Nothobranchius furzeri: one gene and its partners. The protein of the gene in region 5 interacts with the protein of the main gene of each other region in a pairwise test. Links are inferred from orthologs where the notes say so. Each region holds a gene or a part of one and is shown on either strand. Other genes may lie near its edges.

Region 1 (2,963 bases), on a different chromosome or scaffold from region 5:
CCCAGGACTCTAGAAGGCGCTATATAAAATACAGGCCGTTTTCCATTTTCCTGTTAGTTCGTTTGCTTCTTGTTTTTAACAAAAGACACGACAGATTTATTTGTGCTCGGCATCAGTTCGGTGTGGAGACACCAACCCCCAGTCAGAGTAAATAACAGCCTGTAGACCATTAACTGGAAAGTTTGCAGAGGTGGCTCCGAACAATGTAGTGCAGCTTAAACCAGATACAAAGCAGAAACTAAAAATAGAGATGGGTAGGTTCCTGAAGTAAAAGGAACTTCACTCTCATCAGTGATCTGAAACCAAAAATCACTGATTTTATTGTGTAACAGGATTCACGTCTTTTCCTCTCACACCATCTGAAAGGTAAAGTTGGTGAGTAATAAAAGAGAGTACGGTATGAATAATTTAAGTGGAAGGAAAATTGACTTGCTGTTGAGACGAGGAGCCACTTTAACCATGAGATGATTCGCCAGAGCATTTGAGGTTTGTTGTCTCATCCCACGCTGACAAGATGAATGAGCTGCTGGGAAAATCGATAGCAGCAATCGCCTGCTGGCTGATGCACAGCCTGGAGTCGAACACGTCATAAAACAACTATGTTTAACTGTCAGATTGTGAATGCAGCTTCTCCGCTGGATCATAGCGGGAGCCTTCAGCCTGGTTTAAATGATGTGCTGGGAAACAGCAAGTCTAGCTTTTTTTTTATCTCCTCGGTCGAGCGAGTAAATGTGAAAATAAATACAACAAAATAGTCGCTAAAACAGGTAAACAGGATTCATTAAAGTACGTCGGTCTCCTTCTGCAACTAAATCCACAACATTTCACCCTGCTCTCCATTAAAAATAAAAATTATTGCTTTTTTTGACTCATTATTTTATTATTTTATTTGCCGGAGTCACAAAAGCCACCATTACATCATATATGATAAGTGAAAGGAAGCCCATGTTTGGTATTTTCCTGCAAAATTGTTCACATGCTCATCAGGACCTGCTTCCACTCATGCAGTTTGTGTTGATCATCACCAACTGGGTCGTTGTTTTGTCTTGCAGCCGGTGGTAACGAGTCAACTCGGCACCATTAACAACCTGATCCAGGTGAAGAAGTCAGACTTTGAGGTGTTTGACGCTCTGCAGGTCGACTCTCTGGAGTGCTCCGACACATCAGGTGAGATCCGCTGTGACTCCTTATTTGGGTTAGCAGGGTGTCATCAGTCAAAGTGTGAACTGTTTTGTTCTAGATCTGTCCAGCTCCCCTCCAGGCCCGTACGGACAGGAGCAGTACATCTTTAGACCCGAGGAGCACTTCAAAGCCCCTCCGATTCTCCCTCCTCACCTGCTTCAAGTCATTCTCAACAAGGACACTAATGTATCTGTCAGTGTCTCCATCATCATCGGTCTACTTTGAATTCTAGCTGAATACTTTCAATGTCCTTTCTAAATTTGCCACTGATCATATTTCCTTTCACCCTGCTCTAGTGTGACCCTGCCCTGCTGCCTGAACCCAACCACGTGATGTTAAATCACCTTTATGCTCTTTCCATAAAGGTAGGTGCACTGGAAGCTGAAGTCTGCCTCACGTTGTTCAGACGTGGCAGGTAGAACGTGAAATATTGCATCGTTTTCTGATATAAATTCTTAAATCTCATTATTTTTGTTTGTGTAGGATGGAGTCATGGTGCTGAGTGCTACTCACAGATATAAAAAGAAATACGTCACTTCTCTGCTTTACAAGCCCATCTAAGCCTCCACTCATGGGCTCTTTAAGAGCAGCTTGTTTGTATTCTGCTATTTAGTGTTTGCTTTACCAGCGTTTGTGGTCACCTTCAGGCAAATCTTGCACTGATACACGTTTACAAGTGGGTTACACACACAGGGTGTGCACTTCTGTCTACATAGGGCTTTATTCAAAAGTAGCCAAGTGCATCTGTGGCAGTGAGAGGGATTCAAACTCAAATGTGGCTTTCACTAACACGGCATACTACGAATGCAAAAACAATAGTTTATTTTTGTGCAGGTACTGTATATCAGTCTTTTTTTTTTTTTTTTTAATCAGGTAGAGGAGTTTGAATGTGTCTAGGATTTTTCAGCAGTTTTGATTTTTGGGAACTGTTGTGTCTAGAGATGCACTGAATGAGGGGATTTTCAAGAATGTTTTTGCAAAAACTCAAAATTACGTATCTTTAAAATGTATATGTTGAGAAAAGAGGTAAAAGTTGAAGTAAACGAGGTTTTTAAAGTAAAAAAGAGACTTAATTTCTCCTTATTTGTCACTTTTGTGCTATTGAAAGCTGTAGATGTTTGAGATGACATGAGTAGGTCAAGAGTATTAAATAAGTCCGAATCAAACTTCAGCGCATCTCTAGATGTGCAAGCGTGTAACATTTCTTTCCATTTATTTATTTGCTTGCATGCAGATCAAGAATACGTTTTGACCTGCAGCGACACATTCTGTATTGTCTGACCTTGAAGTGCAAAAACGTGCCATTAAAAAGAAAAATCTAAACCCTGCGTAGTGATGATCACTGGCCGAGGGGATTTTCTAACCTGAGCTGAGATCATGTCTGATGTATCTGAACAGAAACCTTCATCCAGGTGAATCTGTTCGGTTTCTGTTCATGAGCACTTTACCGTCCTGTGTGCAGGAGCGACAGTGTAAGGTTTGAACTATGCAGCAGCTGACAGCTCCATTAGCTTCTTGGATTAAATTTAGATTTTTTTTAAATTTAATTAGCTTGGTTCCTTTTATATGTTTGTTTTCAGCAGGTAGTCAAACATGAATGTACTGCCTCTGTTTAAATGTCTGCAGCCTGCAGTACAGATGTTTGTAGAAAACAGGTCTTTGATGACACGATTAAATGTAGTCTGTTCACTTGAGTGTTCCTTAATATTTAAGCTGTTCAGTATTTTTTTATATATTATTAGTGTGTATTATTATTATTCTACACATAAAGGCTAAGTTGT
Region 2 (4,694 bases), on a different chromosome or scaffold from region 5:
AAACAGGTGTCGAGAGGGCCGCTGGGCCTTTGTATATGACACATGGCAGCACGCTCCTCCAGGCTTCTGTTGCAACCTGCCAACACAGCACAGACAGAGAGAGTGGTGTGTATTCAGCTGGAGACTAGATTTATACTGCAGATGAGGGGCTGCTGGGGATTTGTGGTGCAAAATGTCCTACTTTTAAATCTTGTGTGAAATTATTATTTAACTTAGCTTTTTGGTTTTTTTTGGGGGGGGGGGGGGGCACTGAACTTTAATTCTTTAACACGACAAAGCAAAAATAACGTTAAAACAATGAGTTTATTTTTCCTAACTCAGCACATGTAGAGTGAACTTCTTTTGGCTGATATAAAAATAAACACTGGTCAACCAGAATAGATGAAAGGAAAGGCATTTGTCCTGCTGGACCTTAAGTATTTTTAGCACAAACTAAGCTCTGTGTGCTGTGGAGAGGGGCTGCTGGACACAAGTCAGTGCTCCTGTACACGCATACCAAAACCACAAGTCAATGCTACTATTTTAATAAGGCTATGATCTGAAAGCAGAGGCAATTGATCCGCATGCCTGATGATCACAAGTCCCATTTGTGCTCTTGGTACAGACATTATTCCTCTTTTCTGAGTGATAAAAACCCACAGAGGACCACCTTCTTCGTTGAAATGCATTTATGGCTACCCACTATCACTGTCTGAGCTCAGCTCTACTCCACACTCAGTCGTACATCTGGCACTTGACTCTTTGACATTCAGTGCATGAAGGAGGGGGTGTTTATGCATATGAGAGTGTGTGCATGTGCTTGACTATAGCTGTAATTTAAAGGCTGAACCAAGCAATAAACTAAATTGCCACCTTGAGGAGTAGCAGCACTCATCTGAAGGCCTAACAAGCCGAGGCAAGAAAGTGTGCAAACTCATGCATGCGTGCAGCTACTTCTATTACCTTCTGTCTTACAGCAGCTCCAGTGTTATTCAGTCGTGTGAAGGTAGAACAACCCAGAGAGCATTACTGGAAAGTTCTGTGTTAGAGATCTCAAGCCCCAGGTGTTTACACAACAAACACACACTGGACATATTTTACACTACACCTTAACCTTTAGACACTTGAGCATATGACGATTTCTAAAAACATAACATATGAGCAAAAAATGAATGTATTCTCCTGGTAAATCAGAAAAAAATGTTAGTGTTGAGTGGGAAGAAACAAAAATGTGATATTACAGTTTGAACTGTGTTACATAAAGTTAACTGAGATAAAGTCATTTAAATAAACATCAAAGCTTCTTTGTTCCTCTGAAGAAAAAAACATACATTTTTAAGTGCACTAGTGTGGACAAAAAATAAATAAACTGGTTGGTGTTACATAACTGAATCAAGTGCTGCGTATGACCGCTTTTATAGACCGCAGCAGTTTGCTAGCATGAGGAGAGGCAGTGATTGTGCAACATCAGCACGGCCCCTTTGGCCAGCTGCTGTGACAGAGCTGCTACAGGTCTGCAGCAGTCTGAAGCCTGAATAGAGTCTGAGCAGCAACTCCTGCATTTGCATCTGATGCAGACTTCAAGCAGATTTCAGCCGGCGGACTACACACCGCGGAGGGTTCTGAACTTCACAAAACTTTGCGCTTCGAGGATTAGAACAGTCAATAAAACACACCACTAGCGTTACTCCTTTATTTTTTAACGTTTTATTCATAGTTTTAAATCGTATTTTAATTCAGGTTGGAGTTATTTAAATAACATTTGCTTGAGTAGGTGCAGACGGACTAGTTGGTCTTGCGGAGCAGCACTAAATCCACAGCACCAAAGAATACCGGTGCACAATCCGCCGTTTACCTCCTCGAGCCAGGGTAAACGAGTTCGCTAAAACTGAGAAGTTTGGCCCTGGGATGCTCCTGTGTAGCTCTAGATAAAAAACAATAACTTTTTAGCGAAGACTTGCTCTCTTCGTCACTGCGTAGACCGCCACAAAGGTAGTCGTTTTCGTATAACGTCCAGAAGAAAAAAAACCCAGCAGACTTCTCGAGACAGGACGGACTTGACTGAACTCAAGATGTCAATTTTGCCTTTCACTCCCCCCATCGTCAAAAGACTTTTGGGCTGGAAGAAGGGAGAGCAGAACGGCCAGGAGGAGAAGTGGTGCGAAAAGGCGGTGAAAAGTCTAGTGAAGAAGCTGAAGAAGACGGGACAGCTGGATGAACTGGAGAAAGCCATCACCACGCAGAATATCAACACAAAATGCATCACCATACCGAGGTAAGGAGAGCTAGCAGGTTGGTTTGATGCTGACCGTAAAGTTAGCATCTCACGCGCTGTTTTATCCGTTTATTACAGCTTTATAACAAATTATACCAATCTGCCACTGCTTTTACTGTCTATTGCACGTTAAAGGCACCACTTCTTGTGTGAGAAGCAAATATTTCCAGATATTTTCTCGCGTTAATATTTCAAACTCAGTTATTTAGCGTTTATTAAACATCAAAGTTTTAGCTAAGGAAACAGTTCACCAGCTAATCTGTAAATTACGGCTCAAATGTATTATTGTCTGTTATCTATGTGTCATCATATTGCTATTTTGCACTTCAAGTGAATTGAAACAACTCCTAGCAGCTTGGTATGACCCAGATTATGTTGTCAAAAACACGTTTTAAGCATAACGAGCCAATAGCACACATGCAATGTGCACTGGTAGTTATATAACTTGGCCTTAATCTGGAACGTTTTCTAGCGTTGTTAGTGCGTAGGCGAGTCTAGATGGGCTCTCTATCTTCTCTCAATGCCTCTATACAGACATATATCAGCATTTTTATTTAATACAAGTAAATCCACTGCAGGTTACTATGTGTAACAGGTGCTTTCATAGCGTGGGCAGAATTGGAGGCAATGCAACAGCAAACACGAGAAAATATGTAAAAAAAAAACGCAAATAAAGGTGTTTATCATTTGACAAAATATATTAGAGACAAAAATGCTCTCATGGGATGAAAAGTTAACATTTAACACTCTAAATTAATTAATTCAAACGATCTCCTTGGAACAGTAAATAATTCAGCTGTGTTTGGTTTTCAGTGGTCAGATGAATAAATTATGAATAGTGGTTTGGCTTATTGATTTCATTTTTTTTCTCTGCAAGGAGGAGGGAAACATAGCTGTCAGCTGGATTAATAAATGCCATTTTTAGCTCTGACAATTCTAAAGGCTGTATTATTTAACCATCAGTGTGTGCACTTTGGGATGAAACAGTGCTTCACGATTACTGATGGCAACTTTTTCATTAGGTAACAAGTTGGTATTCACTGAACCAAGCAGGAGTAATGTGCAAACGGCCAAGAAGCAAACCGCTAATGAAAAATGCTTAAAAATTTTAAAAGATTTTACCATCTTAAGGTGGCAACGTGTAGTTTCCTGGTGCCAGGGGGCAGTACATACATTTCAGGGTAGTTTTACACCATATTGCTGTGACTGTCGCTAGTTAAAAAAAAAAAACATTACCGTAAATGTTGTTACCTGTGGAACAGAAAGCATGCAACCTTGGCGTGTCTCCTCAAACTTTGATTGTTCTTCAGGTATTTCCATAGAGAGAATGCAATGCAGATGCTAATTTTCTGGTGCTGTACTTTCCAGAGCTGCTCAGGGGTCCTGCGCTTGCCAATGATGTAGTGGTGGGCAGTATAAACTATATAAGGTAGAAACGATATAAAATTGGGTAATGATAGAGTTTTTGGCTCTATCATGGTAACACATGGTGTCAATAAATGTGCACTCTCCCTGACATTGGGACAACAGAATGGCAGTGACTGCAAGTATGGAGAGGGCAGAGGAGGAGGAGCATTCTACTTTTTGGACGTCTTTATTCTGCTGCAATATATTTGCCAAATGTGGATTTTTAAAAGCATGTCATTTTGACATATATTAACAGAGGAAAAAATACATCGCAATAAATATTGTTATTGCACATGCTTCAGATTATATCAGAATATATATTTTAGGCCATATTGCCCAGCCCTACGTCATCATACTACGAAAATACCGTTCAGCCAAATATATATTGCATCTCTTTTTCAATTCTGTTCTCTCACATAGGTTTTGGAAAAAGTTTAGCAGTTTTGTTATTAAATTATTGTTTCTCACTGCCAAGATATTTTTGAATGTGGTAACGTAACTTCTGTAGGTTGTACGCTTAGCCAATCATCTAGTGTGATATCATCGACAGGCACAAGCTTGCGAGCCCTCCAGAAGGAAACTTGGCATCTAATATGGCGTCCTCCAAAGATTTTTGACCTGCACACAATGCAGTTTACACTCAATTTTTATGGTTATATGGTACAATGCTGCCAATATTTTTCAACAACTGGACATCATTTAATTTATTTTCAACATTGTTTTGATGGATATTTACAGAGATTAATGGTATAAACTACACATTGCCTCTTTAAAGTAACTGATAATTGTATTTATTGTTGTTTGTAGCATCCTTTCTTTATATTTGTTAATCTGAGGGAGTTATTAATCTAGTTTTGACTTTTGTTCCAAGCAGTCACTTGATTTATTGCCAGCAAATTGGACACATTATACATTAGTCAAAATGATTATGAACTGTATCTGTAAATCAAAGTATTCTAAACATCAGAATCACTTTTAACTCCTCTGCACGTGTGATCTTGTAACTAATTTATTCTGGCCCCGCATCATCACA
Region 3 (3,999 bases), on a different chromosome or scaffold from region 5:
TCAGTGTCATTGTACTTAAATCCCATAAAAATGACAATAATCATTGAACCATTTAGGTCACTGAGCAGGAATTAATGGAAATTATTCTAATAATGCAGGTAGACAACACATCTGAGCAGAACTGTCAAGAAAATCCTAATTTTCTTACCTCTATTGTCTATTGTATAGCCTGCCAGAAGGTAAATAGGAAATTAACCTGCACATCTCAAACTGTAAATGAGGTTAGGTGATGGTTCCTCACAAATCTTCTTTAGAGTGGGCTGTTTATTAATCATAATAAATGACAACACTGTGAAATATTTAATTTACCTATTATGGCCTTGGGAAGTACATTTTTGCACTGGAACACATTTGGAGATAAATGAAAGTGCCTCTCTTTCAAGCTTCCTTGTTCTCACACACATATACACACCCTGGCAAGTGTGTTTATCCTCTCCCAGCTCCAGCCCTCTGGGACAGAAGCACTGATAGGAGTCCTGCAGCGAGGAGCAGCCATGGCTACAGCCTCCGTTGTTGACGTGACAACCTGCAGTCTCTGCGAGAGGCAGCACACGATGAAGGGAATTAAATGCATAATGACTCCCTGTTTAATTATCTGTGTGCAGCATCTACCTCTACAGTTGTGTCCATCTTCACCCAGAGTCCGACCCCGCCCACACTCACAATGCCTGGAGCCTTTGGTGTTCACACACACCTCTGCACAGCCGCCATTGTCTTTATCACATTCATTTACATCTGGACACAGGACACAAGCAACGTCTTGTCAGATATGGTCATCAGATGAGTCTGGTTTGAATCCACTGAGCAGCACATGGGAGGAGTTTATCACCTCCAGGCAAGTTCCTTCCATTTTCAGGGTTGAGGGATGATAGATGGACTCCAAAGGACCTTTAAATGAAGTTTATAATACTAAGAGGACTGGTAAGAAAATGATGATGGATGAAATAAGAGTAGGGGGCAAAAGATAGAATGGAGAAAGTGAGGATGAACACCAGAGAAATTAACGTTGATTTATTTTCATTTCATTTTACACCTAAAATGTGTTCACCTTGAAATAGACAAGATCTGAATGCCTTGGCTCAAGTTTGAGCTCACCAGTGAAGAACGTTCCCATAATGCATCTGCCAAACATGCCGATGTCTGCATAATGAGTAAGTCGTAATAGCTCTGAACTTTAAAGAGCAAGTCACCCCTACCAGAATTTTACTCCACTCCCACTTCCTGTTTGAAAAACGTAACAAATGCTGTTGCCTGGTAGATAGAGAGGGTGGAGCCACTAACAAATACACACACACTAAGGCTCGCAACGGCATCGTGACATCATATGTTACCAGCTAATGTCATAGTGTACCTCTTAGCCAATAGCGATGGCAGATTTTAATTCAAATGTAGGGCAGAGTTTTTCAGCTGGGTTCAGCTAGCCGCAGGGCATTTCTGCTTGGACTAAAAAAACACCTGGTGTAGGTTACTGTAGCTTCTCACAACCAATCAGAAGGGGCATCAAAATACGCAATTTTCCCTGCGAACATTTAAATACGTGAGAGGCGTGGAGGGGGTGTGGGGGTGCGCGGACCGTTTCACCCTGTTTACTGACCGTCAGAGTGGGTGGGGGGTGGGGTAGAGGTTTGAATAGTCAGCGTGAGATATTGGAGGTGTGGCGTGAGAGCGTGTGGAGAGTCAAAGGCGTGAGAGTTGGCTGCCCTGCAAACATACCAGAAATTTGGATTTAAAAAGGCATTAAAAGTTAGTCACAAGTAAATATTAGCACATACTGATCATTAGAATTAGCAATAGCATTTTCATCACAGGGCTGCCAACTTTCGAACTTTTAATATGTTCGAGTTTGGGGGGGGGGGGTATTCTTTGATGTGAGATATTGGAGGTGTGACGTGAGAGCGTGTGATGGGGTCAAATGTGTGTGTGGCACGCTCAATGCATAAGAGCTGGCAGCCCTGTATCATCATGAGCTAATGAACTGAAAAAGCACAACTCATTCAGACGACCGTTGTTTAAAGCTTCTCCGGATCACTAAAATATTAACCTGAAATAAAACAGCTGTAGGCTTCCAGGTGAGGAAGGCAGCACAAGGTAGTTTGTTGTGTCGATCACTTCAGCACTGGGTAAATCCTCCTGGGCATGAAAAGTCTGACTTTTAAAACTAAATGGGTCGTAACATGAAGGAAGATGTAATGTTTTTGGGATATCATATCTGTGCCAGCTCATTTGAACCCTTAGTAAAGCCGCTTTCAAAAAGCAACATTAAGTTGGTTTTAACACTTCAAGCTATTGCTTCTAAACTGGTTCCAGTGATTCTTGAGCCATAAACTTGATCAACTTCACATTGCACAGCCCACTGTCGCCCTCTGCTGACCAGAAACTGCACTTAATAGTTTTGTGATTTGGGTAGAAAAACTAGTGGGAGGTTTCTATCTGCTTTATGCCAACAGCTGTTTACTGTGCAGGTAGCTATTACAAAGGCTGGCAGTTAGCTTTTTCAGTTTGGCGAGAAGAAGAATTTTGCTGGGACGGATGGGTGGATAAAAGTAAGAGTACTGACTTTGGAGTTAAAGCAAAGAGCTAAAACCAGAGTGAACATCAGCGTGGCCTACACTCAGTTGAGGGAGCTGGAGGACATTATGAAATCATGGACTGATGGTGACCTGGCTTTGTTGCTACTGGACTTGTAGGCAATAATATGTATGTGTCCAACAGTGTGGATCTTTCTATTTCAGAGCTTATTTACTATCAGTTGGCTCGTGTTAGCATTAACTCATAGTTAGCCCTATAGCTACAGTGGGCTGCGGCAGAGTTGTTGGAAACGTATTAGATGTTACTAAAGTACAAATTTTACACAATTTAATGTTGGGCTTTTGGGGGAAAAACAGTTTGCATGATATTGTTGTTTAAAAAAATAAAAATAAATCAAGTAAAAATGACAATATAAGAAGTCGTATAATTTTCTTTCAAATTTAAGCACTTATGTTTCAACAAAAAGCATCTACAAGAAATTAAAGTGGCCTGTACTTGTATAGCACCTTAGGGTTCTACAACCCCTCAAGTCCCTTTACAACACAATCAGTCATCCACCCATTCACAAAATGGTGAGTTACTATGCAGCCACAGCCGCCCTGGGGCGCACTGACAGAGGTGAGGCCTGCTGAACACTGGCGCCACCAGACCCTTCGACCACGGTCCAAGGCAGGTTAAGTATCTTGCCCAAGAACACAATGGCAGCGTTTTCTGGTCAGAGCTGGGATTGAACCTGCGACTTTCCTATTGTAGACAACCCACTCTACCTCCTGAGCTACTGCTGTCCCAGTTGGCAAACAAAAAAAAACTGCTGCCTCAAAGTGACACGACATGAGATCATGAAGAAGCTTCAATATATAAAATCCAGTCTAAACTACCTAAAAGATAAATCCACCATCACTAATCTTGTGCTTTCTGCAAAGCAGTTAGAAAAATATTACCATGATGTCTCGAACACCATTTTTTCATACGCACATTTGGTTATTATCTAAATGAAAGTGAGTCAAATTTGACTCCTGACAGAAATATAAAAGAAAAAGTAAAGTGCATTTGCACAAAGAATGATATAATTCTGTTACATCAAGTTAACACTAACGGATGTGGATGGGACTTTAAATGCATGATCCTCATGTATTCCCACCCCCACACGCTTGACTCACCCAGACATGTTTGTCTGTCTGGACCCAGGACCGTTCCAGGACCACAGCGGCATTCAGGCACATCGGGACATCTGGGACCCATGCATTCAACCTCATCACAGATGTCGTAGAAATCTGTGCAACACGAAACACACAACATCAGGAAAACAAAACGATAAACCTTATTCTAAAGGTTTGCCTTGAAACTCACGGCCACAGTAAACATGGAAGCAGACAGAGGGTCTGAGCAGGCGGTACACAAAGTATCCTCCAGGACAGGCTTTCACGTCGGCGCTGGTGTTCCACTGGCAGCAGTTGTTGTTGAAAGTGG
Region 4 (3,999 bases), on a different chromosome or scaffold from region 5:
AGACTGAGCTTGCGACGTATTTACTTATTCCAGACATTGAGCCAGACACAGATCCTCTTGAATGGTGGAAGCTTCATCAGCCCAACTTTCCAAGACTAAGCTTACTGGCTAAAAAATATCTTTCTGTTCCAGCCACTAGTGCCCCCTCAGAGAGAGTATTTAGTGTAGGTGGAGGAATAGTTACCTGCAACCGGGCCTGCCTTAAGCCAGATGTTGTGGACAGGCTCATCTTTCTTGCAAAAAATGTTTAGAATGAGCATGCACAGTTTTTCAGAGATCTAACAAGCACATATTTTGTTGTTATAAACGTTTACAGATTTGTTCATTCTTTGAGCAGGCTATATGTCTGCCACAGGCTTGTTTCATTTTTGTATTCACACTATACTGAGATTTTTATTTTTTTGGTAATTTTATGTTACAAAATTTTTATTAATGTGTTTTCTTGAACAGAAAATTTAAGCTACTGTGAAGCTGTTGCACTTTTGTTTAAACCTGGGTTAAAGCTTGAAATTGTTGAATGACAGAGCCTCATTTACTTTTTGTTTTGGGATTCTACGCAGTTTAACTCTTGAGGACAATCATAGCAATAAAGTTGCACTTTTGACACTATATCTGATGTCTGCAGCCATTTTTTAAGTGCATTGGGGAAAAAAATCGAAAATCGAATCGAAACTCGAATTTTTCTTCAAAAATCGAAGATTTTTTTGGGGGGCAAAATCGCCCAGCCCTAGCCAGGATTAAAGCCATGAAAACCACACCACTGCGCTTCTGGAATGATGCAGGGAGTAAATGAGCCTTTATGTCAATCGTATTGACTTAATCTACATGAAACTGCATCGCTGCATTTGACTTATTTTGAAAATTACTGGGGATACTTAAACCGTGTGTGATTTCCTGTCTAGCCCTATGTTGACTGTTGAAATTCACGTGTCCAAAAAGCGGCTTGCGGCAAAAACAGATTCTGATCTGTCCTTACAAGAGATTCATTCCTACTAGAGACCACTGGAGCTGTATTAAAACAGAACCTTGCTACAATCAGCATCAACTATAATTTCACCTAAAAAGAGAAAATCCCAAAGAGCAAGAAGCTATGTATATTTTAATTAGGGCTGCCACAAACATTTTAACTATGGACTAATCATGTTTGACGATTAGTCAACAAATGGTGTCACGCATTAAGCATTACTTATTTTACCAGGATGCAGCTGCTATAATATACCCATCATTTCTAGTTTCAAGTATGATCCGTTATGTGCCATCTAAAAATAAAGACAAGATGATAGCTTAACAACAGGGGTCTCATTCCTGTCACCAACATGTTTAAGACTGCCTCATTCAGAACATTAGCTTGCCGAGGTGTGCGTGTTCTTCACTTAGTAGCAAACTTGTCCACTGAAGAAGAGTTCTGTTTTTTAAGACTAACGTAGAGGGACACAATAAATTAGTGTTTGTAACGTTACGTGTGGTAATGAAATAGTCACCACTACTATTATTGCTATGGCTGTTAGAAGCTAACAAGAGGTAATTAGCTTACAGAAGTGACTGTTCCATCTTTTTTAGAGATGGGTACTGAATTCAGTACTTTTAAAAGGCAAAGACTGAATTCCATAGTACCGACCAAGTACTGACTTGTGTCATTTTTTGCCTTTTTTTGATACCCATGCTACGCGCCGGAGCAAGAGCGTAATGTCGTCAGTCACTCTGGGCGAGCTGTGAACAGAGCAGCATGGCAGAGACGAAGCGTTCTGAAGTTTGGGTTCACCTCACTAAATGGGATGGGTAACTGGGTGATGAAACCAGCGACAACGACCTAAGTTAGTATGAGTCATCTTAATCTGCTCCAGCAGCAGAATAAACAGTCCAAGAACGTTAGCTTGATAGTTTGGTTTTTGTTTACATATCTGATGGTGTGTTCGCCATCTCCTTGGAAATTCCAGCTTTAGAGTAGGAAAAATAAACAGTTTGAAAATGAATGGCAAAAGGAATGAAGATACACAGTAAATATGGTTCACAGCAAAGATGTTTACTTCAGTGTAATTAGCAGTTTAAACTACAAGGACCCACCATCACAATTTGTTCAGAGAAGGGAGGAAAAGTACATGAAGCTGGGTTTAGTTTGTCAAACTCCACAATATTAAAATACAAACTGTTGCATGGTATTGAAGTTTGCTTTAGTTTTATTTGTAGTTTATAATGCATGGTCTCCTCATCAGTTATTTTAGAGGGCATAGAACATGATGAGTACATGGAGCTGGGTTTGTTTTTGCATCGTTTAGAAACAGTTAAAGGTTTTGATTTTTAAGACATTTGTACAACACTACGATGACAAAATACAAACTGTTGTCTGTTATGGTATTTATCAAATGTGGTTATTTATTGGGCAAAAAGTATATTTTTAATTTTAAAAGCTATTTAAATAATTATTAAACACTCAAAAGTATCAAAAATTGGTACCATAGATTCAAATGTCAAAGTACCCATCACTAATCTTCCTCCTCTGCCAAGATGAGCTTCCTTTTAAGGTGTTTGTGCATCGCCATTGAGCTCCAGTGAAAGGAGGGTTCTACTTTGCTAATTTTGCGCTGTACATGCTTCTTTAATCTTTGTAAAATGCTCCTAAACTTTTGAGCTACGCTGGCATCTCCCCAAAATCCCGTTTTTCCGATGACGCAGCGGCTGACCCGGACGGCCACTACTGCGTGCGTGCCCCCAGCAGAAACGCAGCAGGCAAGATAAAAAAAGTAACATTTTTTATACAATGTTGCTTATTCAATTTATTGTCGACCATTTTGTTGGTCATCGTGACAAACTGACTCATCGTGGCAGCACTACTTGTAATGGTAATCCAATCTGAACTGTGTAAAGACCCTAGCCTGGCAAGCCAGACTAAATAAATGTATTATTTAGTCTGGCCATGCTCCATTGACGGCTCTCGGTTGTGGGGCGGGTTCTACTGTTGTCTTTCAAATGATCTCCGCATTCCACTGGACAATGAATGTGACATACTCTTGTTTCACTCTGTTGCATCATCCCACCCACCAGGCATATAGAGTGCCCTGATTTGCCCACAAAGCGGATAAAGCTCTGTGATTTGTTCACTAAGCAGATTGAGCACTATGATTGGCCCACCATTATGGACCAATCACAGCTCTTTATGTGTTTGAAACCCCTTTAGAGCTGTGATTGGCTAGCCAGAGTCCTGGTAGGAGCTGCTGAGGTTCCAATGGAGCATGCCTAGACCATTCTTTGCAAAGCAAGAATTTGGTCTAGTTCACTAGGCTATAAAGACCCAACACCACAAATAAAACTCCAAACTTCTTAGACATGAACCAAACATCTGCTGATGAAGACAAGACTCGCGTACCTCAGCAGTTGACTGCAAACTGCGGGCGAACTTGAGCTGATTCACGCCGTGGTGCACTGGTTTGCCGTAGGTCGCCCCCTTGGGAACGGGGCGTTTACGGCCACCTCGACGCACTCGAACACGGTAGATGACATAGCCTGTTGAACACAAAATCTCATCAAGGGCTGCACAAATAAAGATAAACCCTAGACCCAATAAGACCTGGGATCAAAGCTGTTGGTTCACTCCTACAGAAGACAACGAGCAGCTTTCACTAAACCAGGGAATCCTGTGGGCTTTAATAGTACAGATACCGTAAGGATGGTTTCAGTCCAGGTGAGAATCTTTGTGCACCAAACGTGGCTTTACAAAAGACCCTTAAAAAGGTTCATCAAAAAGAAATCTACTAAATATTTTTTTAAATCAAGAAAATTAATGAGCAAACTAGATGTTATGATATGATAGTTTTAAAGAGCAAATTGTTGGTTTAATTTTTTCTAATTTATTCAAAATGCTGTCCAAAAATACTATTTGAAATGCTTATTGTGTATATTTTGTTTTAAAATACATAACAGCAGAGTTTTATAGTAAAAAGTGGCCTTTCTCAGCAAAGCTTCTAAAAAGGCTCGGTTTAAAAACCGAACCTCTGACGTAAC
Region 5 (3,999 bases):
ATTATTTTCTTGAGCCAGTATGTGCTAAAATGACCCTTTACAGGGTTAATGAAAAGTCACTCAGAACCCACTGCTCTCTGTAGCTAGGGATGTGTAATGGTGACATTCTGGTGATGCAATACGTATCACGATACAGGGGAGATGATACGATACGATATATATTGCGATGCATTCAGCCAGACGATATTAGCGAATTTTTAAAACTGAATTTATGGTAGGAAAAATCAATAAACAGTCCGAACTGATACTTAACATGTTTAACATGAGGTATCGGAACCATAATAGAGGGAATTACATTTCAATGGGGAAAACAAAACCCATTGCACACTGATGCCAACTAGCAGTCGGTGTTTGAATTGCACCAAAAGAAAAGAAAATACACAAATGTTTGCATGTTAATTCTTCCTAAATTTTGATACAAGGCTTTTAAATATCACAGGATGAAATATCACAATGTATTGCCATTTTGATATTTTCTTACATCCCTAGTGGCCAGGATACCACTCTTTCAACTTCAGAGTGGCAGGCCGCTCTCTTTTGGACTTAGTAAAGTGGAGCTGGCGCGCCTGGCACTGCAGTCTGCTTCCAGCATGTTTCCTGTATGTTTTAGATCATGAACACAGCTGATTTGTTTAATTTAGTGATGAACTGTTCTTGTAAGGCTGGTGAGACATTTCAGCTGTTAAATGAAGAGTTAAAAAGACAAACGCACAGCGAGGAGATAAGTTTTACTTTCGGTTTTTACTAACAAGCACTAGGGGGTGCTAAAAGCAAGCCAAAACTGTTTAGTTTCTCTTTAAACGCCTTCTTTGGAAATTGAAATAAGCTTCAGATTATTCAACAGTATACTGGATCATGTTTTAACTGCTTCAATCCCTGTGTGTCTTTATTTTTGTGATTGGGTGAATCAAAATGTTATAGCATTAGTAGATTTAGCGTTGTAAAAGCTGGCAGATTGTGGGAATCCTATAGGAAACATGTTTACAATCCAAGAAAAGTGAGGTTTTTGGTTTTCATCTATCCTAACTGTCACTGATCTTCCCTACAGGTTTTGTTTTGTTGGCTTCTTGGAAGACCGCACCATTCACAGACCCACTGTGCTGTGGGAGTTTATGTGATTCTGCTGCAATAAAGACTTTCTGTCTGTTCTTTTGTATATTGGTGCAGCTGTTGCAAACATTTCTGCTGCAGAACAATAGCTGGCAGTGGCATCTGTAAACCTAATCTTCAAAAAACAACCATAAAAAGTATTTCTGACTCAAAAGGCTTTTGAGCAAGCGTCTTGGCCTGTCTTTTTATATTGTTTTGCCTGAATGTGTGCGAGGTATCAAACTCTCAGGCAGCACCTGAAACTCCAGAAGCATTTCCAAACTCTTTGTCAATTCTCTATGGTACAAAAATCACTGGCGTGGTGTCAATTACTTTTGAGGTACGGCTTCCAAAGAGGTGTCATAGATCAACCAGCATTACGCCCCCCCCCCCCCCCCCCCCCACCTCCGTCCATTTGTCTCCTGTTATTTATTTCGTCTGCCTGCGTTTGAAAGCGAGCGTCCCACGCTTGGAGACCAATTTGTAGCTGCACAGGTCGCGTGAGAGAGGAAGTGGCCTGCTAGACAGCGCTTCCTCCGGCCCGTCTCCCTGTCGTGACTGCAGGCTGGCCCTGAAAGAATAGACAGGAACATCTGGAATATGATAGTCCTCTGACACCGCCACATCTGGAGCACAATAACCCCTCATAGCAAAGTTGCCAAAACACGGTAGCGAGTGAAAAGTCTCCTCAAAGTTCCGAGGGTGCTTCTGTTTTCCCAACATGGCCTTAATGTGGTAATGGAGGGTTCAGCTACGCCTAAACCCTGGGGGCGGGGGCAACCTGCAGCTCACGGGAACATACTTGTCTTTCAGTGAGGTCGAGGTTGACGGCGATCTCGTAGCGCCGTAGCCGGGTCAGGTAGTTGTGGTGGGCGAACTCAGCCTCCAGCTCTCGGATTTGCTCCTTGGTGAATGCTGTCCGCTCCTTCCTGGGCTTGCTGCTCACGTCTGGCTTGTAATTCCCGTCCTGGGACTCTGAAACCAAACACCACACAGGTTTCTGCTGTGCTCAGGGGCAGATTTATATGCAGCAAAAATAGAAGAATCAAATAAAAAACAAATGAAAAACACCAAGGCAAAGGCTTTGCGGCAGGTGCGGCTGCAAGGGTGAGAAAGAAACGGCAAAGTTAAGAGAAACAATCAGAGCTGTCAGTCACGTTTTATTGTTCAGTCGTTGTTTATGAATACTTTAAGTGGGTGGAAGGACTCATGGGCGGCAGCACATGTGTGTCTGACTGCAGCAGCTGTGTCGGGACAATACGCCGGCTTTTACACGACCAGCATGGATTTAATTTGTCTGAGTTTGAAAAGATATTTGCTGCTTTGACTTCACCAGACGGGGAGCAAAAGTCTCAGAAAAGCTGAAAAATCATCATTTTCTGTCCCTTCCAGCTATTTATCACTGAGTTCCCAAAGTCAGTAAATATATTGGCATCATAAAAGTTATATTTAGATGTGTGTGGAAAGGAAAACAATCCCAGACTAGAGAAAAAGGACTAAAGTCAAGACAAAAACAGATTGTACACTTGCAGGAGAGAAATAACAAATTCCTGCTTCATCACCATCAATCTACAACAATCCAGTTTTCCTCGTGTTTCCAGAACCCCTCCAAAGAAAACACATATGGTTAATTTGCCTTTCAAATGATTCCTGTTAAAAGCAGCTCTTGTGGGCTCTGCTGGACACAATTCAGATGCTCGTGGGACTTAAAGCAGCAGCAATTGTACGGAAACTCATCTGTGGTCCCGTGAATTTTAACTCTGCCAGTCTGCGTCGAACAAAACTGTAAATAGTCCTGCAGCTCTGAGCCAGACACACGTAATGGAGGCCTGCTGGTTCTGTCTTATTGGGCCTGACTTTTCCAGAGCAGCAAAACAACGAGAAGAAGAGACCGAGCTGCTCTACAAAAGTTAGATTTAGAGCAGAAGGCAAGCAAACAGAAGCAGAAACTGCAGGAATTCACATATAAGGGGTAAGAAATGGAAAACGGCCTTTGTTGACCTGCAGCTTGTGTCTGGCTCACCTTTGACCTTGCCCCCCCCTGTATTTTTAAACCAAGTGGCTGACTGAATCACGTCCTCAGACCCACTCCCTCTGGTTCACGCAGACGTGTAAAAAAGAAATAAAAGTATAATGCAGCCAGTCGCTTCAGACCAGGCCTGGAGTTAAAAGGAGCGGCGAGCTTTTATGGCACCGCCGCTCCACCACAGCAATTAGGTCCTCGCCGAAACTTTCATCTCTCCACAAAAAAGGAGGAATAATTTAGGGAGAATACACCCAGACAGGGAGCGCCGCTCAGGGTTCTCTAATGAACTCAAGTTCAACAGGGACCCTCTTGAAAAAAATAAGAGCAAGTGAAAAGAAATATTTGCTTTTTTCAAGAGGTCCTTCACTCATATTTCTTAGTAGAAATGAACGCTTCGTAAGTCATACTCTGGGGGAAAAAAAGCTCCGGTGCGCCTGTTTCAGCATGGATAATTTAGCCAGAGGAGAAAGTAGCTTCAGACGTCAGGAATGACTCCATTCGCTCTGCGACATGGACGTTTTATCGCCACTAATAACACAAGCTGTTTGGAGTTCTGCCATGTGGTGGAGTTGCTAATGCTAACAGTTAGCTTCTACTAGCTGAGACGTTCTCTGCTGTTTCCTGGATGCTAAACCTACAACAGCCGTCCCCGTGGCGATTCAAGATGGGTGAGTCTATGAACGTTAAATGACAGTGTGACGTCTTCTTCTTCAGAGCGACTCTTAGTGCCAGCGAGAAGACTCTGGCACCTCACGCTTGCACTTTTTATAACAACACCTCATCCAAAAAAGCATCTTTTATTGTTTCTGTCAGAAAACTCTGAACTTTTTAAAGGACGACCACTCCCTCCGCAGCACTATCAACTCAGCAAAGACACCCTTTCC
Region 6 (3,999 bases), on a different chromosome or scaffold from region 5:
AATGGGAAGGCACGTGCTGCCCCAGCAATTACCTTACACGTGGTCTGGTTTTGTCTGGGTACACGTAGTAATTATAAACGGTCATGTAGCCAACAGTTGCGTAGAGAGTCTCCCCGTCTTTATTGTACTTTTCAAATCTGCAGATGAAACACAAAGGCAAACAGGTCAATTACAGGCACACTCCCATGCAGTGTCCGTTTTAGCTTCTCTGTTCTCGTGCCCCCCTCGTCAGGAGCAGCCAGGGCCCGATTGGTACACCTGCTACAACATGAATACATTATGCACTTAATTGGAGTACTGCAACTTAGAGGAAGAGAAGGGCTTGGAGGAGGGTTTGAGCTCCTCAACATCACTTCAGTCCATTTTGCCTATTGTGACTATTAATAAGTGCCAGGGTAAAGAAAACACTGGCAGAGGCTCTTTTTACTGTTAGGACATTGTTCAGTGTTTCAAAAGACAACAGTATTCAATTCAACTCTTGCCCCAGAAAAATCTGAAAGGGGCTCTGGGCACAAAGAAAGCTCTTGCCTGATCAACAATTCTCCTACATGGGGAAATATAATCAAACCGGCCTGGTAATTGGTCACAAGCGCCTCAAAGGGGGGCTTTGTTTTTCAATGACACAATAAAAGGCTTTAAGGGTAAAGCTGGGGGGTTAGTGTCAATTAAGGAGGCTACTCACACGAGAAAGTAGTCCCAACGATCGTCGTCTGTGTCGATGAAGCTGGCGGTCTCGATGAACCACATGAGGAAGGTCTGCAGGCGCTCGTGGTACTCTTGGAATCCAGGGCAGGTGATGTCAGCCTGGGCCCAGTTTAATAAAACCGTTTACGTCTTCCTCTGATGAGTTGGTGAGATTATGAGCGTGGTTTGCGCGTACCTTGTGAATCTGGTAGGTGAGTTCTCCGGCCTCCTCATTGTGGATCGTGTACGAGTGAAGCAGGGTGCCGAAGGGCTTGAACTTGGCCTCCTTCTCCAACAGCGAGATGAAGTCATCCGTGCTGGAGGTGAAACCAGCTGGGATTATTTCCCGGATTTTCCCTCCGACATCATCCGGCTGGATGAAAACAATAAAGCTGGACTCATTAACTTGAAAACACCAGCAGGAAATTTTAGTCTTTCTGTTTTTTGTTTGGCCAAAGCGGCAAAAAAAAACTCAAAGCACACGTTTTTAGAGACGCTGAAAAGAAAACCATTAGGCAATTAAAACTGTCAGCTGAGCAAAGTCCTCGGCACCTCCCCACCCCGACAAGGCCACTTAAATCTGTACATTTACCACTTAGATTGAACCATGAATATGTGATGAAGTTGCCTCAATAAACACATTTCTGCTTCTCACTGAGAAGAAAAAAAAATCTTATGAATTGATTTCAGCTTAACAAACCTTTGGGCATCCATAATAAGAGGCCTCTCCTCTAATCCTGCCAAGTGAACCCAATCAAATGAATCTGGCCCCCGCGTTTTTCAAAGGGCCTCGGAGACAAAGGGGCCCTTCCCCTGGACTTTTTACTCGGTAGAACGTGTGGTTAGTTCAGCTGTAATGTTTGCATTGTATCCATTTCCACAAGGATTGACATGAGAACACTTTGCTAAGCAGCCCTTTCACACCATTTACATGTGTGATGGGCATTATGGGAGCACAGAGACCCTCACTGCTCCGCATTGAAAACTGGGAAATGAAGAAGGTCTGAGCAAAATGCACTACAAAAGGCTAATACAACATACTGCTAATTCCCCCCTTTCAGACATCAGCTAATATCTAACTGGAAGTAATGCACCTGCAGCTGAATGCCTCTTAACTATTGTAATTGTTCAGCCACATTTCTGGAGAACAAGGACCACACTTAAAAGGCCATGGACAAACAAGTCGCTTTGTCCCAACCACTCTCCTGCATACTAGATGCTGAATTGCATGGCCTTCCAGAATGGATGCTTCACTTTGCCGTGAATATAACTCAACAATGCTCCTTGGCAGCAGTCAGTTGATGTCTTTGATTTTCCAACAATAAGCATAAACTATCTAATTAGTTGTTAGTTGTCTAATTTGTGTTTTTTTTAACTCTTCAATCAACTATAAGGGCCGTCTTAGAGCTTGTAAGTTTAAACTCTTCAGGTTAAATCTGTGCAAAAATGATGAATTAAACTACAAGTTTGTAGCTCAAACAAACTAAAAACAATCAACTAATTGGGTTTTCTGGAAAACGTCCAGCATTGTGGTGTTTTTGCCCAATTTAAAGAGGAGAAGGTGAGTTCTGGTCGCCGTCGTGCATGAATGTAGCAGCTGCATCAACTCCAGCTCGGCCTCCCGTCATCCCTTCGCCAGCTGCACCGCACCACGACCGTCCACACGCACTCAGAGACAAACGCTCTTCAGACGAAGCCCGAACTGTGCCGCTCTGCCTGCCCGACAGCTGCACTCAAACCCTTAACAAGGTGAACCCACACTCATGGGGTCAACGGTCAACTCTGAGCAGTGGTGCACACTGACACTGCGTTTCGGGTTCATTGTTGGCTCTAAGCTGTGCTGCCCAAAGAAGAGGAGCGGCTCTTTTCATGTTTAATAAAGTGCTGTTTGTTGATGTATTTATGTCCTTTTTCTAAATCTAATTAAGGGACATTTAGAAAAATAATTCAGTATAATAGTCGTAAATATCTTATTCGCTGTAGATTTGCTTCCAGACACCGTTTGTTTGGCTAATTTGTGTTTACATCCAGCAGAATTATGAGCTTATTTGAGAGCAAAATTTCAAGCCAAAAAACTGTTTTGTTTCTTCAACACCAAAAACTGACAAGTTGAAGAAAAAAAGAGATTTCTTTGCACCAAGTGAAGTGCCAGAGCTCGTGTAGACACAGGCCATCCACCATATTTACAACCTGTCACACAGACACTCTTATGCTGGGCGAGTGGACAAATTAATCGACCGTCAACGATGGACTGGGTCCTTTGCTGAACTTTTTTTTAAGAGCATCATTTTATATGCCTATGTATTAGGTAGGGCTGCTCGATTATGGCAAAAATAATAATCACGATTGTTGTGACTGAAATTGAGATCTCGATTATTTAAGATGATTTTTCAATTTATGTTGATTTTATTTGTTTTTATTCAGTCATAAAACTGCTCAGGGCACAATCAGTCACTAAAATAACTCCTGATTCCCAGTATAAAAAGACCAATATACTTATAGCTCATAGTCTATGACCCAAGGGCTATAAACCTTGGTTTAACTCATTTAAGTCTAACCAGTACAGACCCAAATACCAATATCTTGCAAATACTGACAGCAAGAATTATACAGTGGCATTTATAACAAATACATGCAAATTGCTGTTCACTAAATGTTGCATAGCATTTATTTAGTCGTGTCAAGGTGCTGTAGGAGCGTGCACTAGCACCGTGTCCTCAGAGAGATTAGTTATCAGTGTGAGGAACTTATTTCTATCTATTTCTACCTTATTTATAAACTATTTATTTACAAGTCCATCAGTTAATGTAATAATTGTCCCAACCACAGCTGCACACACACACCCCAACCCAGTCTCACAGCAATCAGGAGCAACCTGCACGTGTGTTTAGCGCGCCGCACGCGCACATTTAGCAGTTTTTAGCGGCTCAGGAGCCCGCAGGTACGGAGTGTGTCACTCACTCTGGTTAACCCAACAGAGCCGACTCTGGGAGCCGTGTCTTTAGCGACTAACACATCACTACATCATTCCCTTTCCTAAAGTCCTGAAGAACGGTCCGGAGCGCAGGCGGATTGTTTAGCTAACCTGCAGGAAATGTCGATGACAGTTATCCAGAAAGTAGCTAAGGGTTACCAGAGATGTTTCTGACGTGTTCGCTAGGTACTTTTGAGATTTAAAATGTCAAGAAGGGGGTCTGAAAAGCTGTTGGAAATAGCGTCAAAGTCGATAAGTTGGCAACACTGTGGGAGGAGCGCTTCAATTGTAACTCAAGGCAGCGCAAGTGGGAGAAGCAAATAATCGGATTCTTTTGTTTG
Region 7 (4,512 bases), about 60 Mb from region 5:
ACGAGAAGACGAGGGTGTCTGGGTGAGCTAATCAACCTGGGCCATCACTATGAAGGAAAAAACCCAAAACTTAGATCGTTAAATAAACCACAATAACTGGAAATCTGTATGTTACATGTCAGCTGTCCCTTTGAGAGTCCTCCAGCTTTCTGTCCTCTCAGCTGGAAAAGTGCACTTAGCTATTGTCACAAGAGCAGATCAGTCTGATTACACGGCTGGACTGAATGGAAGTGGGGCTGTTATATTCCACATCGCCGGAGGGTTTTGTTAACTCTGAAAAGCTCATTCTGACAGAGTAAGACTCTTGTAGTCAAACTTGCTTTACTACTCCCGAGTGTTTTAACATGCGGACTATAAAGGAACATGGTGATTGTCACGTAGAAATAAACATGCTAACGAGCCACATAACAGGGAATAACAACATTCAGCTGAAGGAGAATGTATTCTGATGAGACAAACCTCCAGGGACGGTTGTTGAGGGCGGGCCAGTGGTCGATTATCCCTTCTAAAATCACCGGCTTGAGAGGAACCAAGTACTTTGTATTGAAGCTTTCCAGAGAAGGACACTTAATCCTCTCCACCGCCAACTCTTCTTTGATTGGAGGAACACGTGGGACCACAATCTTCATTCTCTGGTAATGACGACAGAAATAAATGGGGGGGGGGGGGGTCATTTTCAGTCTAATAATAAAAATGACCTAGTTTTAAACTTTTAGGGTCTTTATGAGGGTGTGTTGACTTCCTTTACCAAATATAAAAGTTCAATTTGTTTCAAACGGACACTTGGCGAAACAAAAAGGAAACATATGAACATACAACTGTTATTAATAACATGTTTGTGACATTTTAAAGACCAGATTAAAACAGCCGGTATAGAAAAATGATAAATAGCCATCACAGCCCTGCTTTGTAAAGAATTACTCACAGATTCTTTGGATGCTTCAACAGTTTTAGGTTGACATTTTCAGGGCACAGACTAAAAATGTATAATCAAGTAAAAAAACAAACAAAAAAAAAAAAAACAGAAGCAGCAGCCAACCCCCGTCTAAACAAAGTGATCTGACCTTTGAGAATGTGTGGCACTTCATCTTCAGTGACATCTGATGAGGTGCACCCAGATGAAGGGCAAGAAGGGAGATACTTTTTATAAAAAATAACTTTTCTACAGTCTATTCCACAACATCAGCCTTGAACTTTTGATTATAATGTAAATCAAGAGTTTCACAACAACACCACATAAAACACGTTCCTCTAACTTACTTGAACATTTGCTAATTTAAAGGATAAAATAAATTGGCCAGCTGACCTTGGCTTCAACATAGTCCGTTTCTTCTTTAGTGGTTTTTCTTATTTCACTTTGCAGAATCCGAACAAAAACCTGGAGTATATTATCCATGACGGCCGCGCCCATGAGTAAACCCATGTCACACGTCCTGACAGCCTGAAGGATCTCGTGCTCTGATGGACTTTCTCGACATAAAGCGGCCACTTTAAACAGGCAGCCATAGGAGTAAAGTCGCCTCCAGTCCTTGTCCACATCACGCCATGTTCCGGTGTTGAGTCTCTCCCATGAAATGTCCAAAACGACTTGAGCATAAAGAGTTTGGTTGTTGCTTCTTGTGGTGCTGTACAGTTGGTGTCTGGATCTCGTCAGCATTTCCACCACACTCGACTCCACTTTGTCACTGAACTGCAGAGGGAACTGTTCCTCATTAATCGGTAGAGCAGCTGAGAGTTTTGACCACAAGGATTCCATTGACAACTAGGTCCTCCTGTATTCTGTAGAATGAAGAAACAAGAAGTGCCAAAGCATCGCAAAATGTTAGAATGCAGTGTTAAGCTAAAGTTGTAGCTAAACTGTATGGAAAGTCTAACTTGGATTAAAGCCAACACTTTTCAGAGGTATGGGCTGGAATGTAATCACATGCATGCTTGGCTGCATGCTGGGCTCATCAGTGGCCCAATCTGCAATCCCTACCCACCACCACACACATACACTGGATTCTTGTTTATTTCATTAATGAAAAATCTCTCTCTGCTGCATGAAAACAGAAGTCTGCTCCTAATTTCCAAACTGGCAGACACAGGTGAGGACATCCTGAGCCAGAACTGGTCGTGTGACACATGCACAATGACGGCGCTCTCTGGAAGTGCCAGCCCTGTCTTTGTGTGACTCCATCCATGTTTGGATGCTGCTCTGTGATGCTGGAGGTGCTGCCAAGGCTTGAGGCAGCCAACTTTGTGCACCTGACTCTTTTGAAAATAGAAAATCCCAACCACGTGAACGCAAATGCATGCTAGATTGTTCCAAAATTAAGATTTTTTTTAGTTAATATATCACATGTCTAAAGGGTGGTGCAGCCCTGCAGCAGTTCCCAGAGACAGAAATGCCAATAGATGAAACACTCGAGCCAAACAGAAAAAGAGGAAAACATTAACATAGAGCTGGCATTTAAAAATTACACAAAATATTTCTGAAATTCCTCTGGTAAACAAAAGTTACCTTCATCTTTTAAACAAAATGTTAAACAACTGCAGACATGTAGACACAATTCGCTTTGAGCTCTTTAAAAGGCTTTTGTTGCCAAATCTCCCTGACTTTAAGACAAGTATATTACGTAATCAATTAAAAACTTTTTAATGTGACCAAACTTCTACTCAAAAAACTCAAATCTCCTTAAAGGTAAAACAACTTTTTACAATCAGCTAACGCGTTGTGAACGTTGTAATGCATTTATACTTTTTTTAAACAATGTTGCAAATATAAAAAGCCACTTTAGTTTATTTTGAAGGCGCCGCACCTTAAAATAAACCCCAGCTTAAAATCAGAACAGTTGTTTAGTAAAAAGCAAAGTAAAAACGACTATTTACCTGTTTTGTCTTTATTTACATCGCTAGCCACGCTAACACGGCTGCAGCTAGCGGTGGGACAACAAAAACACACCGGAAGGGAACCGGAGCTGCAGGAAATATCAGTTCCACTTTTTAGTAGGTGTTGTCAAAACTGTGAAATGGCTCCAAAAATAGGGATGATTAATCATAAAATCCAGTTTTATCACAAACCGAAGAGTTTCAATGATCATGGTATGTTAAGTCTTTGATTTTGACACAGAAAAAGCATTAATTCACCGTCTGGTCCAGCAGAGGGTACTGTAAGTGGAAATCCAAGCTGGACTGCTACAAACTGAAATCACACACTTGTTTTTCATGTGTGGGCAGTTTCCTACTATCTATACACTCTCCCACATCACACTCCCACACACTCACATTTGTCCACATCTTAGTCTTGTTGCAGCTCAGAAGTTCGTTCATCTCTCCTCTGAGCTCTCTGTTATTAAACCGGTTGAAGCTGAGCAAAATGAGTTTAACAAAGCCTCATTTAAATACACGTCAAGTCATCTACATCTGTTTCAACAACAGGTGGACCAGATTGTCTGATCCCTGTGCTGCGTTGAGAAAACTCTTGTCATGATAAATGATGGCAGAACTGACATTGTCCGTCCCCCCCCCCTCTCTCTCTCTCTCTCTCTCTCGCTCTCTCTCCTTTCATAGCTCCTGCTGTTCATGATTGTATGTTGTGTAAATACACCTATCCCTAGAGGGCTTACTGATTTGTGTCTGCTCACATGAAGCTAAAACAATAATCTGGTTTGTCTTTTTGATGTCACATTCGGGTTTCTGGGTTTTTCATCTCTCTCTCTCTCTCTCTCTCTCTCTCTCTCTCTCTCTCTCTCTCTCTCTCTCTCTCTCTCTCTCTCTCTCTCTCTCTTCTTTTGCAGGGAGCTGGCCTGAACAAACACGACAGGAAAGGAAAACCTTCAGCAGTGGAAGTGTGGAATCTCTAAACTCTCAGCACTATTATCAAATGTCAAACATTCTGTGAAATTCAAATAATCTCAGTGGAAAGCGCAGAGCTGTTCTTGTATGTAAAGCAGACGGGGCTGAGTGACGTGCTGCCTTTCCTGGAATCACAGGGGATTTTAAGATGTTTCAAGCATCTCTGTTCACTCTGACTGTGTAAACAGCAGAATCCTTGTGGCTCAGTCTATTGTTCACTTACTTCCATGAAGGTGGGAAATGCCTATGTGATGGCGAAAAAAGCTGTGTGATTGATTTTTTTTATGCTTTTGCAACTGCTAATGGAATGGGGAAATGAATCTGGTCATGAATGTAGTAGAAATGCAGATAAACAGCATGTAATATCAGCTAAATGACATCAAATTAAGAGGCAATCTTTGCACACCCTCACAGGACTCCGGCCCCTAAAGACAACATTGGATTCTTGTGCTAGAACTGTTTTTATTGTTTGAGGACACTTGATTGGAATCTAAAATAAGTAAAAACTGTTATTTGGGGGCGGGGGGTGTCAATATTTAAAAGAACTTTTAAACTACCAAATGAATGTGCTGGTCTAACGAGTGAATTTCCCCACTGTGGGATTTATGAAGTCTATTCTGTTTTATTTAAATGTTCCAAAGCAACACGTGCTTTTCCACATTTATGACATCCTAC

What was found.
Region 1: the proteins of meox2a (region 5) and prkab2 interact in binary tests that used the Homo sapiens proteins (3 or more experiments, as listed by UniProt). The link is inferred for Nothobranchius furzeri from reciprocal best matches to the Homo sapiens genes MEOX2 and PRKAB2.
Region 2: the proteins of meox2a (region 5) and smad3a interact in binary tests that used the Homo sapiens proteins (3 or more experiments, as listed by UniProt). The two-hybrid records come from large-scale screens. The link is inferred for Nothobranchius furzeri from reciprocal best matches to the Homo sapiens genes MEOX2 and SMAD3.
Region 3: the proteins of meox2a (region 5) and oit3 interact in binary tests that used the Homo sapiens proteins (3 or more experiments, as listed by UniProt). The two-hybrid records come from large-scale screens. The link is inferred for Nothobranchius furzeri from reciprocal best matches to the Homo sapiens genes MEOX2 and OIT3.
Region 4: the proteins of meox2a (region 5) and rpl15 interact in binary tests that used the Homo sapiens proteins (3 or more experiments, as listed by UniProt). The two-hybrid records come from large-scale screens. The link is inferred for Nothobranchius furzeri from reciprocal best matches to the Homo sapiens genes MEOX2 and RPL15.
Region 6: the proteins of meox2a (region 5) and hat1 interact in binary tests that used the Homo sapiens proteins (3 or more experiments, as listed by UniProt). The two-hybrid records come from large-scale screens. The link is inferred for Nothobranchius furzeri from reciprocal best matches to the Homo sapiens genes MEOX2 and HAT1.
Region 7: the proteins of meox2a (region 5) and kdm8 interact in a two-hybrid assay, tested with the Homo sapiens proteins (2 studies listed by BioGRID). The two-hybrid records come from large-scale screens. The link is inferred for Nothobranchius furzeri from reciprocal best matches to the Homo sapiens genes MEOX2 and KDM8.

What each region holds. Positions count from the first base shown.
Region 1 is NC_091751.1:56,448,604-56,451,566, forward strand, and holds the end of prkab2 (5'-AMP-activated protein kinase subunit beta-2), read left to right. Parts: intron 1-1,052; coding exon 1,053-1,167; intron 1,168-1,240; coding exon 1,241-1,374; intron 1,375-1,478; coding exon 1,479-1,547; intron 1,548-1,665; coding exon 1,666-1,743; 3' UTR 1,744-2,165; downstream 2,166-2,963. UniProt on the Homo sapiens protein: Non-catalytic subunit of AMP-activated protein kinase (AMPK), an energy sensor protein kinase that plays a key role in regulating cellular energy metabolism.
Region 2 is NC_091749.1:43,501,654-43,506,347, forward strand, and holds the start of smad3a (mothers against decapentaplegic homolog 3a), read left to right. Parts: upstream 1-1,825; 5' UTR 1,826-2,051; coding exon 2,052-2,254; intron 2,255-4,694. UniProt on the Homo sapiens protein: Receptor-regulated SMAD (R-SMAD) that is an intracellular signal transducer and transcriptional modulator activated by TGF-beta (transforming growth factor) and activin type 1 receptor kinases.
Region 3 is NC_091752.1:15,863,833-15,867,831, reverse strand, and holds part of oit3 (oncoprotein-induced transcript 3 protein), read right to left. Parts: coding exon 3,880-3,999; intron 3,804-3,879; coding exon 3,690-3,803; intron 736-3,689; coding exon 613-735; intron 536-612; coding exon 413-535; intron 1-412.
Region 4 is NC_091751.1:25,420,241-25,424,239, forward strand, and holds part of rpl15 (large ribosomal subunit protein eL15), read right to left. Parts: intron 3,502-3,999; coding exon 3,365-3,501; intron 610-3,364; exon of another isoform or gene 252-609; coding exon of another isoform or gene 1-251. Other genes in the region: E3 SUMO-protein ligase ZBED1-like, read left to right, coding at 1-251.
Region 5 is NC_091745.1:64,687,547-64,691,545, forward strand, and holds part of meox2a (homeobox protein MOX-2), read right to left. Parts: intron 2,065-3,999; coding exon 1,892-2,064; intron 1-1,891. UniProt on the Homo sapiens protein: Mesodermal transcription factor that plays a key role in somitogenesis and somitogenesis and limb muscle differentiation. Required during limb development for normal appendicular muscle formation and for the normal regulation of myogenic genes.
Region 6 is NC_091754.1:20,781,432-20,785,430, reverse strand, and holds part of hat1 (histone acetyltransferase type B catalytic subunit), read right to left. Parts: intron 1,058-3,999; coding exon 881-1,057; intron 805-880; coding exon 683-804; intron 138-682; coding exon 33-137; intron 1-32. UniProt on the Homo sapiens protein: Histone acetyltransferase that plays a role in different biological processes including cell cycle progression, glucose metabolism, histone production or DNA damage repair. Coordinates histone production and acetylation via H4 promoter binding.
Region 7 is NC_091745.1:4,851,206-4,855,717, reverse strand, and holds the start of kdm8 (lysine-specific demethylase 8), read right to left. Parts: upstream 3,003-4,512; 5' UTR 2,872-3,002; intron 1,780-2,871; 5' UTR 1,757-1,779; coding exon 1,307-1,756; intron 1,101-1,306; coding exon 1,065-1,100; intron 633-1,064; coding exon 460-632; intron 1-459. UniProt on the Homo sapiens protein: Bifunctional enzyme that acts both as an endopeptidase and 2-oxoglutarate-dependent monooxygenase.